Linked DNA regions of Diceros bicornis minor. Each later gene encodes a partner of the first gene's protein in a complex. Links are inferred from orthologs where the notes say so. Each region holds a gene or a part of one and is shown on either strand. Other genes may lie near its edges. The genes, in order: NF2 and LATS2.

Region 1 (7,394 bases):
GTATACTTTGAAATTTTTTTGTTAAATCTGACATCTAGTAGCTCTCACAAGCAATTTCTGTTGCTAGATTTTTCCACCGTACGGATCATACTTCCCTGTTCCTTTGCATGCCTCATAATTTTTCATTGGAAACTAGACATTTTAGATAACATATTATAGCAACTCTGAGGACTGCCCCCCCCCGCTCCAGGGCTTATTATTATTATTTGCCTGTTTATTTGTTTAGTGACTGGCGAGACTGTTTTAGTGAAATCAATTTCCCTCATACAGTGTTAAGGCCTATGTTGTTGCTCCTCAGGGAGGTGCATCTCTGGGTATGCCCACAGTCACCCTGGATGACAGTGGTTTTAGCAGGGCTCTGTTCCTCTCCTTCCCTGATCATGCCCAGCTGTTAAACTCCACTCACTGTGGTATATTATTCTATTATTTTCAACAATGCTCAGGGTGTAATTTGCTCTACAAAGTAATCCAATCAAAAGGTGGCTTTTTGAGGAAACAGTTTCTGAAATTAGTGTTTGATATTTGTTCTGACGCCAAGAGGGCTCTTCCCAGTTGTCTTATTCCCTGATTCTCTCCTGCAAACTACTTAGCCTACAGTCTAGGCTGTTATCTTCATTAGATCTACAAAAGTCCTCCCAATTGTCTTTCACCAAAACCTCCACTGTTCCTGAGAGTACCCTTAAGCATAAACTTCTCTGCTTTGTTGCAAATGAAGTCACTACCTTTGGGAAGAGATTAGAAACCAAGGGTTTTAAAGCCTGCTTCTCCCTCCAGGCAAAATCTCTGAGCCCTTGGTGGAAGGGGGGATGGGGGACACACTAAACTGAAGTCTTTTCAGTTTGCCTCTCCTGGCTGGAACTACCATCTCACAAACTGAGGTTAGGGACAAGAACAACTGGGGTCCAGTATTCTCAGTGTGCCACCAGGGTACAGCCCCCATTCCATAAGTAGGAGCTGGGTGGAAGAAGCAAGTTCCATCTTTCAACTTCACACACCCAGGACTTAGCCTCAGCAACAAGTAGCCTTGGGCAAGATGAGAAGCTCTGAAGTCCTGCTCCTCCTGGGAAGAAAGCCACCTGACTGGGAGCCAGGAGTAGAGGGAGCCCTGTGTTCTGGGTTACAGCAGTCTAGAGTGGAATTTCTACCTTGCTGAGCTGGGAGCAGGGAGGGTGGTAGCAGTCTTGGTTCAAAGACCACAAACTCTCACCTTTCTTACCAAATTTTGATAGATTTTCTTTTTTTTGTGAGGAAGATCAGCCCTGAGCTAACATCTGATGCCAATCTTCCTCTTCTTGCCGAGGAAGACTGGCCCTGGGCTAACATCCGTGCCCATCTTCCTCTACTTTATATGGGACGCCGCCACAGCATGGCTTGACAAGCGGTGCGTCGGTGCGCGCCTGGGATCCGAACCTACAGACCCCAGGCCACTGCAGCAGAGCGTGAGCACTTAACCGCTATGCCACCGGGCCGGCCCCTTGATAGATTTTCTTGAAAAGATGTTTCTTCACTTGATGTTTGCCCTTAGGACCATTTCCAGAGGGTTTAAATTACTGTTTTTTCAAATAATTTTTACCAGTTTTACAGGGGACCAGCTCAGTGGAGCTCCTCACGCTGTCCTGATGGAAGCTGACCCTGTCTAAGGCTGCTTTTGTGCTACATGGTAGAGCTGAAGAGGTGTGAGTAGTTGCAACCGATACCCTACAGCTCAAAAAGCTGAAAATAATTACTATGTGGCCCTTTACAGGAAAAGTTTGCCAACCCCTCACCTAGGTCACTGCTGCCAATGCCAATCCATAGACCACCCTTTGAGTAGCAAGGACCTAAACTACTTGAGAGGCAGTACTGTATTGGCTAAGAGCTTGATTCAAAACCTTACTTCACCATTTACTAGATATATGGTTTGGGGTACCTACCTCATTGGGTTGCTGTGAGAATTAAATGTATGAATGCCTGGCACTTAGAAAGTATTCAATACATGATAACTTATCATCATGATAGAAACTCTACAGAAAGTTTCAGACACCATCTCATTCCTCAAACAGTTTTTTTCCAGAAAATTTAAGTTTTGGAAAAGAGAAACAAGTACAGACTTTCCAATAAAATGACATGCAACTTTTAATACCAGGGGTACATAATATTATCTAATGAAGTAAAACCTCTATAGAGCTGGAGCTGAACCTGCCACTGAAAACTAGAATTCGCTACCACGGATGCTTCCAGCCTCTTGCAATAACAATGAATGAAAACCTTCAAGAAGTGCTTCCAAACCCAAAATTGAAAAAAGCAGCAATTATCTTTAATTTGAGGATTTGGGCCTAGATGGTTCCTTCTGGTTCTAGCAGTCTCTACCTATACCCAGAGATGATATAAGCAGAATCCCTCAAGCTTCCACCTCGACTGTCACCGTGGCAAGGGCGCCCGGGTTGGTGGGGCCCGGCGAGAGGATTCTGGGCTACCCCTCTCCGCAGCCCGTCGGGGCTGCCGGCCGGTTACCTCGCAATTGAACTCCATCTCGGCGTCCATGGTAACGATCCGCACGGTGAACGTCTTGGGCTGCTTCCTCTTGAGTGAGCTGAAGCTCATGCGGGAAGCGATGGCCCCGGCCATGGCGCGGGGCTCAGGCCCGGGACCCTCGTGCCCCGAAGCCTGCGCTCTGGGCCTGTTAGCCCCCCTGGAGGAGCCGCACAGGCCTCAGAGCCACCATGGTGGCCGGCCGGCCGGCCCGGGAGCTGTCTGGGTGGCGCGGGCCCCCAGCGGCCAGCATGGACCGCGAGGACCCTGCCCCGGGAACGGAGAGGGGACTTGGGAGGCGGGCCCTGACGGCCGCGGGCAGGGAACGCGAGCGCGGACCGACGGGGCGGGTACGGCCCGGCGCTCCGGGACTCGGGCCGAGGACGCTGGGGACGCCCGTGTATCAGCCCCTAGACAGCGGCGGCCCAGACTCCGGGCGCCTCTCAGCGGCCGACGGAGGTCTCGGGGCCGCGCCGCAGCCGGGCGCGCACGTGCGCGCGTGGCTGTCACCGTCCTCACTCCGCGCACCCGCGGGAAGCGTCCCCTCCCCGCAGCCCCGGGCCTGCTCCCCGCCCCGCCCTCAGGCCCCCCAGATCGCTACACACAGCGCACCCTAACAGGCGGCCTCCGCCCAGACGCCACGGTTGGCTGAGAACTCTGAGGAAGGCGGGACTTTCCCTGCTCCGTCCAGCCTTCTTCAGAACGACTCCACCAATTGGAAGTTCCGCTCTGACCGGCGGCGGAGGCCTGGGCTCGGCGTTGAGTGGCTATAGCGGCAGTCACTCCGAACGCTTTTGTTCGTAGGGGTACGCCTACTCTAGCAAGGCTGGTTGAGGCGGCGGAGCCCGGCGCGCCTTTCCTGGGAAACCGCGTAGAGACTGGTCCAGGGGCGTGGGAGTTGGCCTGTATGGACCGAGTACGCGCCGTGTGTGGCGCCCCAGGACGTCGTGTTTCGGACACCCGGAGGCTAATCCTGTTTGGCATTTAATTAATTACATTTATTGACCTCTATGTTTCTCGAAAACTTTTGAGTCAGTTGTGGAGGCCGCTTAGGTTGCCAGCAGTCTCCTCCAGATCCTTCTGCCTCTCTTTAGGAGAAATATTATTACCAAAGGGGTGGGGGATAAAAATTGTACCTACTTCATGGAGTTGTTGAAAAATTTAAGTGAGTTAATATATATAAAGCTTTAGAACGGTGGCTGGCGCATACTAGGTTGAATCCTATGAAATTGCTGTTTTTGTAGATCAAAAACGGCCGAAAAAGGGAAGCATTTTTTATTTTGTTCTCTGTGGTTTCCATTTTCGAACCATTAACGTGCATTTATTTTTTTTAAATGTCATCAAAGGTTATAACGTGTGTGTATGATGGGGGATTATAACTTTATGTACTTAAAAATAAATTCTAAGATAATTGAATAAAGACAATTTCATGAGTTTTAACTGAACAGTAAGGGCTCCATGAGTGTTAACCCTCATTAGCATCGTCCCCACCCTACAGCTGAAGAAACAGGCTCAGCATGACAGAGCCACTTGCTCCCAGTCACCCAGATAATGAGAGGCCAAGCTGGGACCCAGGGTGATCCCACTGGGTATTACCACTGCACTGCCCTGCTTCCCTGGTTGTGGCTTCCAAATTGCTCCTGTTGCTGCCTGGAGAAATATGAACTACAGTTCTGGAGCACTCAGCAGACACTTGCTGTAACTATGCTAATAGCATAAGTCTGGCTCTTCCCCATGGGCGCCTACAGCACCAGGAAGCACCAGCCAGGCCCCAGGAGTCACTTGCTGGCACGCTCAGCAGGGCTGCTGTGGTGGAACATTATGTCTGTCTACTCACCAAAAGATTGTTCAGGGCAATATGGGCTTGGTGTGGGAGTGTCTTCATTTTCATCGCTTCAGTTCTTACTTGCAGGAGGGAGAATTGGATTCTCCTATAGTCTCCCTACAGGGACAAAAAATCAGGGTTTTAACCCAGGGCCAAGGCTGCTGACAGAAAATAAGAGGCTCTGGGAACCCACTGAGGAGTAGGAAGAGGAGGTGGATCACACAGCAGGGGCTAAAAATGATATTGATGGCCAGTAATAGCTCGCTTTTATGGAAAGCTTACTAGGTGCTAGGCACCGTGCTGATTGGCTAAACATGCCAAATTTAATGTTCCTGGGGGGACATCCAGACCTGGATGTCCATATGGGTCTGAATCTCAGAAGGGAAGCCAGGGCCAGAATTAAAATAGATGTGATGGAATATTATGCTGGCATTAAAAGTGCCATTCACAAAGAATAAACAGAGATGATAATAGTACCTACCAGATAAGGGTTTGAGAAGGAATAATTCAGATAGAGCTCGTTACAAAAGACCTAACACACAGACACCAGTTAAAATAAATATCTATTGAACGAATAAGTGAAGAATGTGAGGAAATACTATGGTCTCAACTATGGAAACAATATTAATAGCTACCATTTATTAAGTGCTTACCATCTAAGGTATTCTGCAAAGGATTTTGCATGCTTTATTTCTTTTGATCTTTATCAAGATCCTATTTGGTACGTATTGTATTATATTCCTAGTTTATATATGAGGAACTTGGATAAAGCTGAAATTAGGTAATTTACCGAAAATCGTAATTGGTAGAACTGCAATTTGCATTCAGGACTGTTTTAATCCAGATCTTACCTGACTTACATTTCATTCCTCCATTCTTCCAGAAGATCAGTGGTTCTCAAAGTGAGGTCCCTTCCCTCCAGGGACATTTGGCAATGTCTGGAGATTTTTTTTCTGGTTGTCACAACTAGATGGTGTGCCTGTCCTCTATGGCTAAAGGCTAAGGATGCTGTTGGGGCTGGCCCAGTGGCGCAAGCGGTTGGGTGCACACGCTCCGCTGCCATGGCCCGGGGTTCGCCGGTTCGGATCCCGGGCGTGCACCGATGCACTGCTTGGCAAGCCATGCTGTGGCGGCGTCCCATATAGAAAAAAGTGGAGGAAGATGGGCACGGATGTTAGCCCAGGGCCAGTCTTCCTCAGCGAAAAATGAGGAGGATTGGCAGATGTTAGCACAGGGCTGATCTCCTCACAAAAAAAAAAAAAAGGCTAGGGATGCTGTTAAACATCCTACAAGGCATAGGACAACCCCGTACAACAAAGAAGTATCCCGCCCCAAGTGTCAATAGTGCCAAGATAAAGAAATCCTGCTGCAGAGCAATGGTTCCTTTTTTTTGAGTCAAAAACAATCTATTGAGAATCCAATGCAACCAGTGGACCCTTTCCTCAAACGAATGCACACATGCACAGAATTTTGCATATTGTTTTAGGAGATTCATGGAAAGACTCATCCAAGCACATCTATGAACCCCAGAATAAATCAGCTCATCCCCCAGATTAAATCAACTTATCCTCAATGCTACATGTGAGTTCTAGATTATGACCCCTCTGCCAAAAACTGGACTCCGTCGTTTTTGGCCACTTGCAGAATTACTTTTACTGCACATTAGCACAAAGACAGTGTCCTGCACTGAGGGTGTTATAAGAAACAGCCCTGAGGAACTCTGACTGTCTTTACAGTAGAGATTTAGCTGACAAAGGTTCACACAGCATCCTTTCTATGAAGACCCATGAAAAAAACAACTCTTATGCCCCAGTACTTGTATTTCTCATGAGAGGCTGATTTGCTTTTTATTTTTTTAATAACTTTTATTGTGTTTTTCCTTCTTTTACAAGTAATCCATATGCATTATAAAAAGGAAACAAAAAACGGCAGATAAGCAGTGTGGTAGGCATAATTCTAAAATGTATCCCAATGACCCACAGCCTTGTATAATACTCCCCCTTGAGCATGGGCAAGACCTACGGATATGATGGGATATTATTCCTGTGATTATGTTACTTTATATGGCAAAAGGGATTTTTGCAGAAGTAATCCCTAATCAGTTCAGTTCATTAAAAGGGAGATTATTTTGGGTGGGGCTGACCTAATCAGGCGAACTCTTAAAAGGAGGTCTAGAGGTCCAGCATGATGGAGAGAGTCAGAGAGATGCATTCCTGCTGGCTTGGAAGAAAACAAATATCCACGTTGTGAAATGCCTACGGGGCCACAGTGGAAGGAACTCTGGGTGGCCTCTGGGAATGGAGAGTGGTCCCCATCTGGCAGCTAGCAAGCAGAGGGACTTCAGTCCTACAACCACAAGCAGCTGAATTCTGCCAACAACCTGAATGAGCTAGGAGGAGAATCCTGAGTTCCAGATAAGAACCGTGATATGGCTGACACCTTAATTACAGCCTTGTGAAACCCTGAGCAGAAGATCATGCTACGCCCAGATTCCAGACCCGTGACACTGTGAGATAATAAATGTAATTACCACTAAATTTGTCATAACTTGTTACACAGTAATAGAAAACTGATACAAGCAGAAGGAAAAACAAATTTTAGCTTGCATAATCCACTGGCCCACTACTTTCATATAGTACATACTTTTTTGTGATTTGCTATTTTCTCATTCATTAATATATTATGAATATTTTCCCATATCATTAAGTATTCCATAATATAATTTTTGAAGAGCTGCATAGGATCCCATGTATGGGTGTAATTTTTTTTCTCTCTTACACACGTTGTGAACCATGTTACCAATCGTGTTTCTTTCTTGGAGTTTGCTGTTAGGAAGCTCAGAGCCAAATTTGAAGTCAGCCTCTGACAATTGTAACTGGCCTTGCCTTATCTTTGGCTTCATCTTATTTTTCCTGCCCTTATGCCTCACTTTGCATTATTTCCCCACCCACTTACTGTTTATTTGTTGCACTAGCTGTATTTCCTTTTATGAAGTTATGGATCCCTTACTTACAGGTTTTTTTTGTTTATTTATTTTTCTTAGGTCAATACTTTATAT
Region 2 (8,216 bases), on another chromosome or scaffold:
CACTGTCAGTTTGTGAGTGTCTTTAGGTCTGAAGTGTGTCTCTTGTATGCAGCATATATATGAGTCTTGTTTTTTTATCCAATCAGCCACCCTATGCCTTTTAATTGGAGGATTTAGTCCATTGACATTTAAAGTAGCTGTTGATAAGTTTGTACTTACTGCCATTTTTTAACTTTTTTTTTCTCAGTGTTTTAGTAGTCCTTCTCTGTTTCTTTTTTCTTCTCTTGCTCTCTTCCCTTGTGGTTTGATGGCTTTCTTTAGTATTATGTTTGGGTTCCTTTCTCTTAGTTTTTTGTGTATTTATTATAGGTTTCTGGTTTGTGATTACCATGGGGTCCGTACACAGAGTTGATGGTCTCTTTAGTTTGACCTCTGTCTGAAAGCTCTGCTCTTTAACTCCTTTCCTCCCACATTTTATGTTTTTGGTATCATATCTAACCTCTTTTTTGTGCATTTGTATCCATTACATTCTTATCATGGAAATAGATAATTTTTCCTATTTGTGGTCTTCTCTTTTCCCCTTAAATAAGTCCCTTTAGCATTTCTTGTAACACTGGTTTCTTGGTGACAAACTCCTTTAATTTTTGCTTGTCTGGGAAACTTTTTATTTCTCCTTCCATTTTGAATGATAACCTTGCCAGGTAGAGTATTCTTGGCTGTAAGTTTTTTCCTTTCAGCACTTTAAATATATCATGCCACTATCTTCTAGTCTGTAAGGTTTCTGCTGAGAAGTCAGCTGATAACTTTATGGGGTTTCCTTTGTATGTAACTTGTCTTTCTCTTGTGGCTTTTAGAATTCTCTCTTTATCTTTAATCCTGGACATTTTAATTATGATGTGTCTTGGTGGGGGCCTCTTTGGGTTTATCTTGTTTGGTGCTCTCTGTGCTTCCTGTACCTGGATGTCTGTGTCCTTCCTTAGGTTAGGGAAGTTTTCATCTATTATTTCTTCAAATAGATTCTCTGCCCCTTTGTCTCACTCTTCTCCTTCTGGGACACCTATAACACGGATGTTAGTGCACTTGATGTTGTCTCAGAGGTCCCTTAGACTGTCCTCACTCTTTTTAATCCTTTTTTCTTTTACCTGTTCAGCTTGGGTGATTTCTTCTAGTCTTTCATCTAGCTCACTACAAAGTTCTTTATATATAGTTTTGGGGGGAGAATATGGTCCCCATTCTTGTGGAATTTATAATCTAATTAAGAAGACAAAATATATGAGTATAAAACAAAAAAATCAGTGCAGCACATCTTCTTCCTGGTTTTCTAGGCCTTTCATATCCTGACTCTACTCTACTTTTTTGTGTGTGTGAGGAAGATCAGCTCTGAGCTAACATCTATGCCAATCCTCCTCTTTTTGCTGAGGAAGACTGGCCCTGGGCTAACACCTGTGCCCATCTTCCTCCACTTTATATGGGACGCCACCACAGCATGGCCTGACAAGCAGGGCATCGGTGCGCACCCAGGATCGGACTCGGGCCACCAGCAGCGGAACATGCACGCTGAACCACTACACTACCAGGCCAGCCCCTCTAGTCTATTTTTTCACTACTCCCCTTAGAGAACATTCTTCTGTAGTTAGGCAGATTTGCTAAGTCTCCCCCACAGATTATAAAAAAGGAGGCTTTTTCTTTCCAAAATGACAAAAATTGTGTCTAGAGACCAGAGCCTGTTTTCCAGGCACTAAGGTATGAGCCATAATCAGGTTTCTTGCATTCACAGCTTGGCGGGGAAGTGGGGCGTGGTAGGTAGTCTTAGGGTGATATTCCCTAGGGGCCTCAGTGAGAACTGCTAAAACATCCGGGCCCCACAACTGCAGGGGCCTCATTGGTGAGTAGACTCCCTGTGCCTGCAGCCCACAGCCTCTTTTTTCTCTGGTTGGTGCTGGAGACACATGTCTTTGAGCTCCACTCTTCCTCACTCCACAAAAGCCATTCCTCTTCCCTCAAACAAACTATAGGGGAGTTAATTTTGTTTCAGTTTCCTTATTTATAAGTACACTGTAATCATGACTTTTTGAGATTACCTGAAGAGAGCCTTATAATTCAGTGTTGCCTAGCTCTGGAGTCAGATCTACCAAGGTTCAAATCCCAGCTCTTTGATCTTGAGTGAGTTACTTGGGTTCTCTGTGTTATAGGGTCCTTTTCTATAAAATGGGGTTGATAACATGGTTGTCTAGAGGATTAAATGAGATAATACACAAGTTTAGGGCAACACTTGGTTGTAAGGACACACAAACACATACGCATATATAAACATACTATGTTAATCAATTAATTTATACACTGCAACATTGCCACTGCTACAGGCTTTGTGCTCATCTGGCCTTGTGTTATTTCTCTCTTTTCTCCCCTTCTCAGCTGGATGCATTACGTGAATGTACTCATTTAGCTGATTACTTAATTTAGACATAGTTTTTGTTGCTAACTATCCTATTTAGGAATATCAGGAATTATAAGACAAAAATCACCCAGAATGACTATATCCAGAGACTACCACTTTTTTTTGTTTTGGTGAGGAAGATTAGCCCTGAACTAACATCTGTTGCCAATCCTCTTCTTTTAGCTGAGGAAGATGGGTCCTGGGCTAACATCCGTGCCCATCTTCCTCTACTTCATATGTGAGATGCCGCCACAGCATGGCTTAATGAGAGTGGTATGTAGCTCCACACCTGGGATCTGAACCTGTGAACCCCAGGCTGCCTGAAGTGGTGCAAACTTAACCACTACACCACCGGGCCGGCCCCTAGAGACCACCATTTTTAACATTTGGCTGCATACTTTTCTGGACTTTAAAATATATAATATTTTATATTATATAGTATTATATAATTTATAATATATTATTAATATATTTTTAAAATATATAAATATATATATACTGACATTGTTTCACAAAATTAGATGCTATACTCTATTTTGTCATTTGCTTTTCTTCTTGAACACATCTACAAGACTGTTAGCTCCACCAGGGGATAAGTCTTGTGGTTTTGTCCCTAGTGTCTGGTTTAGCCCACGGCTCATAACAGATACTCAAAAAATAAAACAACTCAAAGGAATGAATGACTCCATGTCAATAAACACATATCCCAATAACAATAAACACAATCATTAATCATAATATTCTCCTAAATAAGTGTGTCACATTTTCCCCAGGCAAGCCTCTAATTGGAAATTTACTTGTTTCCAATTTGTTTCATACATATATATTTGAAAAATTTAAAAAGATGTTTTAAAAAAAGGCACAAAGAATAACACAACACACATTATTGAACCTAATCACCCAGAATCAACAAATTTTAAGATTTTGACAGTTTTGCTTCACTTCTTTAAATAAAAAAAAAAGCATTGCAGATAAAGCTGAACTCTTTCTCTCCTCAGTCTAATTTCTCTCCTTCCTTCTACACAGGCAACAGCTGTCATGAATTTGGTGTGTACTTTTGTAGTCCATGTCTCTACTTATATAAAGTATAGGATTAGTATAGGTTCTGCGGGGTTTTGTTTATATATAAATATGGCATCATAGTGTATATATAGTTATGCAACTTTCTTTTTTCTACTCTACAATGGTTTTGAATTCTGTCTACACTCATTTTTTCTTTGAAAAGTACAGAGCTAGTTAGTTCATTCACTTAGCTATTTTATATATTTCATCATTTGAATATCTACCATCTATTTTCCTATTATTCCCTATTGCTGGACATTTAAGTTCTTCCTGATTTTTCACTATTGCAAACAATGCTGTAATGGTTGTTGTAATTACAAAATTTTATTAGGTGTTTACACATAAATTTTAAAGTCCATTAAATTCCTCTTATTTACAATATTTCACTTGACAAAAATGTTTTATTTAATTATGTTCAGATCTTTGAAGACAGAGCAAGGGCAAGATCTTTAAACACACACAAAGGAAGACTGGTAGCCAGCCCTGCGGCTTGGGGCTTGGGTGCAGAAAGTATGGGCAGTGTATAAGGGAAAAGGTACACAGCTGAGTGCAAGGGGGACTCAGTTACAGAATATCTGCTGGAGATTTATACTGCGCAACATGTCTGGGTTGAGCACAGGATACGACTGAAAAAGTAAATTGAATTCCAAACTGCACAATAATGGTTTAATTACCAGAGCTCAAAGAAGAGAGAAAACAGGAGGGAGATCTGAGAAGATTCCCTGGAAGAGCCAAGGCAAAGTCAGGGCTAAAAACCTGGGTGGGATTTAGAAAGGAAGGAGGAGAAGATGGCAGACCAGGGACAGGTAAGGTTGTTAAAACAGTCCGGAGATAATGACCTTATTTACTGTTTCTTTCCAGATTAAAATTTAAAAATTTCACAGGAGTTTATTAATTAAAAAGGAAATTAGGTTGGCTTTTAAATCGATGTTAGTCCTCCTCATCATCTACCACAGACTGTAGGCGGTAGGAAGTATGACGTTAGACGGACAGCCAGAAGTAGATTAAAGATTTGGCTTCCAGTCTGTTATTTCTACTCACATCTCTGCACAGTCCCTGCATACGTCCTTGTACCAAATCCATAGCCCCCAAATGGAAAGACAGTCAGCGGTTGAAACGCAAAAACCAAAATCTCTCTTGTTGGTATACATTCTTATACTGTTCTGTATACCATAAAACACTTCTCATAAACAAAATATACACAGCACTGGGGGTTGATTAAATTAAAACCGATTGAATTTGGGTGTATATTTGACGTCTTTCCATGACTCACGGCTAGCTGTCTGCCCTTTTCGGCACCTATTTGGTAACTTGGTGGCTCCTTCAAGCCTGTTAACTTACTTTCTTCACCAAGGCTGGTGTGAGATGCTTAAGAAAAAAGTGGCTGTAAGACAGAGTTACCAACTTTTAATACAAGTCCAGTCGAGGGGGCAATACTGGAGTTGGGGCCGGGTGACAAACTGGCAAAAAGGTCCGTAGGAGGAGGCGGGGAGGCCGCGGGCAGGTGGCGACGGGCGCGGGCGGCCGCGACCTGGAGGCAGGAAGCGGCGGCCGGGCGGAGCGAGCCGGCCGCCGAGCGGCAAGGGCCGCAGGCGCCCCGCCCGGGCTGGTATGCGGCCGAGAGTGACGCGGGAGGCGGGGTCACGTGACGCCCGTGGAATGCCAACAATGTAGCGAATGTCCCACTTGGGTCTGCGCGTTGGAACAGCGGCGTGAGCGCCCCGGGAAGATGGAGCAGCCGCCGCCCGCGCCGCCGCCGCCCGGGGCTCCCCTGTCCCTGCGGGGCCAGCAGCAGCTCCAGCCACCGGCGCCCGGTCCCCCGGCGCGCGAGGCCCCGGAGCCACAGGCGAGGACGCCCCGGAGCGTGTAGACCGCGCCCCAGGAGGTGAAGGGGCAGGGGCGGGAGCGGGCGGCCAAGGAAGTTTGTCAGGACCGGAGCTCTGCGCCCTGCCCCCACGGCCCCCGCCCGTCCTGGGCCCAGAGCCGCCCCCGCCGGCGGCGCGTCGTCGCGGGCCGTCCGGAGTCCGCCGAGCCGGCTCGCGCGGGCCGGGAGGCTGGGGGCGAGCGCCGGGCGGCAGGGTGCGCCGCTTTGTTGTGCGCTGGGGGCCGGGGGCGGCGAGCGGGGGGCGCCCGCGCCTCCACCGTCCCGGGAGCCGGGCTTCTACCCGAGTGCCCGGCCTCCGCGGTGCCAGCGGGCGGCCCTGACAGCGCCGGGGTCCCGCGCCTGGCCGCCCCGCCTTCCACGGAGGCCGCCCCGTCGTACCCGACTGGCCGCGGCGTCGTGTCCCCACGGAGGCCGCGCCGCTGTGTCCCCTCGGGCGGCGGGGAAGCCGGGCCCGCCCCGGCGTCTCCGTGTTGGCCTCCAGGTCCTCGCGGGTCGAAGCCCGGGCTTCCAGGGGCGCATTCGTGGCCGTGAGAGCGGCGGCCGTTGCATAACGTGCCCGTCCTGCGCCCCAGTCTAGCCGACTTTTCTGGAGGTTGTCTTTTCTGATGCAACTTTACTTGTAGTTAGTTCCGCGGCCGGACTCGGGAGATGCAGATTCCGATAAAATTCGCATTTTGGCAATCACTTCTGCTCCAGCCTTACTTCGGAACTTCAGGACGAGCGTCTGCCTCCGGGTGAAGCCTGGCCTGGGGTCGGGCAGGAGTGCCAGCTCGGAGCAGACCTTTCGTTTGTGGATTCCAAGTCCCCGGTGCCCTGGGGGTGGGGGAAGGGGAAGGCATACCCCCAAAGAAGGTAAAACGCACCGGACGGCGGTGTCACGGGTGTCCTGGGCTGCCGGCAGCATGTTCTGAGGCCCTCGAATGAGAAGTAGTCTTTGCAAGCATAACCGTGAAAAGTACACTTTATTTGTAGATTTTATGTTGACAAAATTTTAAACAACAACTTTTACATTTTCACACCTATGTAGAATATAAGTGAGAGTGTTCTTAATGTAATAGTCATCTAGACTTTTAAAAATTATTTAACCTTGGCTATTAAACCAGGGAGTATACACTTGGCAAGTAAAAATTCAGTGGCCCATCAGCTCTCTTCCCAATGTATTCAGCAAATATGTACATTTTTAAAGGAAAGATTGCCCACATTTTACTAAGAAACTTGAATATACTGAAATTTGAATGGAAAGACAAAATGTGTGTGATCTTCGTACAGGTGTTCTGTTTAAATTTTGACTTAGTAGATGAGGGGCCTTCCCTTAGTAATGGAGAAAGTAACTCGCGGCTTATTATTAGGGAATTTGTACTAAATAGATCTTGCTCCATATTTTTTGTTGATTCTCAGCTTAAATCCCTGTGTGATGGATTACCATTTTTGAGTGCTAAATCAAAATACTAAGTTGCTTGGTATCTTCTAAGCTTTTTGTTTAGCAACTGTTGTAGTAAGGTGGTAACAGAAAAATCTTCCAAAAGAAGAATGCAGAGACTATTTAAGAAGGTCTGTTTTGAATTATAATTAACAAGACGCTGTTATTCAGCATCTCATAAAATTTGGTCTCATTATCCAGGTATATAGAGCACTGTTTAATGAATATGACAGCATTCCCTTGAAATTAAAATTGCTGTACATTTAATAGATCTCAACATGTCAAGCAATTTAAAGTGGCATCCGAACAGAAGATGTCATGCGAAATTATTGAGGTGAATGAATTACTAGAATCACGGAATTTTAGAATTGAAGGGATTCTTTTAGCCTCTCCATCTGTTTTGAAAGTTTTGACTGAAGTGTAAATTGGAGCTGTACATATTTCTTTCTTTCCTTAGCAAATCACAGGGTTGGTGGGAGGGACTTCCCTTTGGTGGGAGGGGAATGTTTTTACAATAAGAAGCCTTGTTATTTTAAATGCTGTGTTGTGAATAGCCAGTCCTAGGCTCCTAAATCCCATTGTAGGGGGGTGGAGAGGTAGGGGAGGTGTTGAAGCTGATAAATTAACCATGAACACGAAGGAAGGATTTGGGGAAGCTTTGGAGCTGTTCTGCTTTGTATTGGAAAAACCAGACCAACACAGTTTTTGAAAAGCTGCTTTTATATTTTATTTCATGGTTATAATAATGTGAAACTTCTAAATAATATTCCTTACTGACTTTTTAAAAATAGTGGGCTTGAAGACATACAGAAGATAAATTTAGTGCATTTATTTTGTCTTAAATGTAATTCTGCTCTAAAAAGGATCAAAATATCCTGATAAACAGAATGAAGAGATTGGTCTTGATAATCCCTGAAGTGACTGACTTCCAGCTCAAAAAATTCTCATAATCTTCCTTTTTAAAAAGCCTGTTGCTTAGTAATTCCTCTGGATAGAACTGGGCCTTGCATGAGTCCAGGGGGTCACCATTCCCATTGTATGCGGAGTGGATGAGCTCTGGGAGGTGGAGCTTCCTCACACAGAGCACCTGTGAATTGCTCCCGAAGTTTGTCGGTGGCCTGCTTGGGCCACTAGTTTCACTAAGTATTAGTCAGCTGTTCTTTCAGTACTTTTAAGGCTAATGTTATTTGATTTACAGTTTCATTTTGAAAGTATTATTAAAATAATGTTGGAAATAGAGATAATGGTTATGATGCTAAAATTAGAATGGAAATTTTACACTGCTTAATGTTCTCATTCACTATATGAAAACTTTATGTTGCTTACCATCTAGACTGTGTCAACCTACCTGTAACAAGTGATTTTTTTTTAAGTTAAATACTTTTTGTTCATGTGCCAGTATTTGACGTTCATAGGAATTTTTCTGGAGGACAAATGGAAAATCTCATATTTTGTAGCAGTGCTTTGTGTTT

What was found.
Region 2: the proteins of NF2 (region 1) and LATS2 are in contact, whole or in part, in a crystal structure (PDB 4ZRI), measured with the Homo sapiens proteins. The link is inferred for Diceros bicornis minor from reciprocal best matches to the Homo sapiens genes NF2 and LATS2. Residues at the interface, in NP_000259.1 of Homo sapiens: Pro135, Glu136, Ala137, Val139, Leu140, Tyr144, Asn175, Leu176, Tyr177, Gln178, Met179, Trp184, Arg187, Trp191, Glu206, Lys209, Ile210; in NP_055387.2 of Homo sapiens: Tyr73, Ala76, Leu77, Glu79, Ile80, Arg81, Ser83, Leu84, Leu85, Phe87, Ala88, Asn89.

What each region holds. Positions count from the first base shown.
Region 1 is NC_080774.1:23,187,469-23,194,862, reverse strand, and holds the start of NF2 (merlin), read right to left. Parts: upstream 3,014-7,394; 5' UTR 2,608-3,013; coding exon 2,494-2,607; intron 1-2,493. UniProt on the Homo sapiens protein: Probable regulator of the Hippo/SWH (Sav/Wts/Hpo) signaling pathway, a signaling pathway that plays a pivotal role in tumor suppression by restricting proliferation and promoting apoptosis.
Region 2 is NC_080748.1:5,593,719-5,601,934, reverse strand, and holds the start of LATS2 (serine/threonine-protein kinase LATS2), read left to right. Parts: upstream 1-5,157; 5' UTR 5,158-5,324; intron 5,325-8,216. UniProt on the Homo sapiens protein: Negative regulator of YAP1 in the Hippo signaling pathway that plays a pivotal role in organ size control and tumor suppression by restricting proliferation and promoting apoptosis.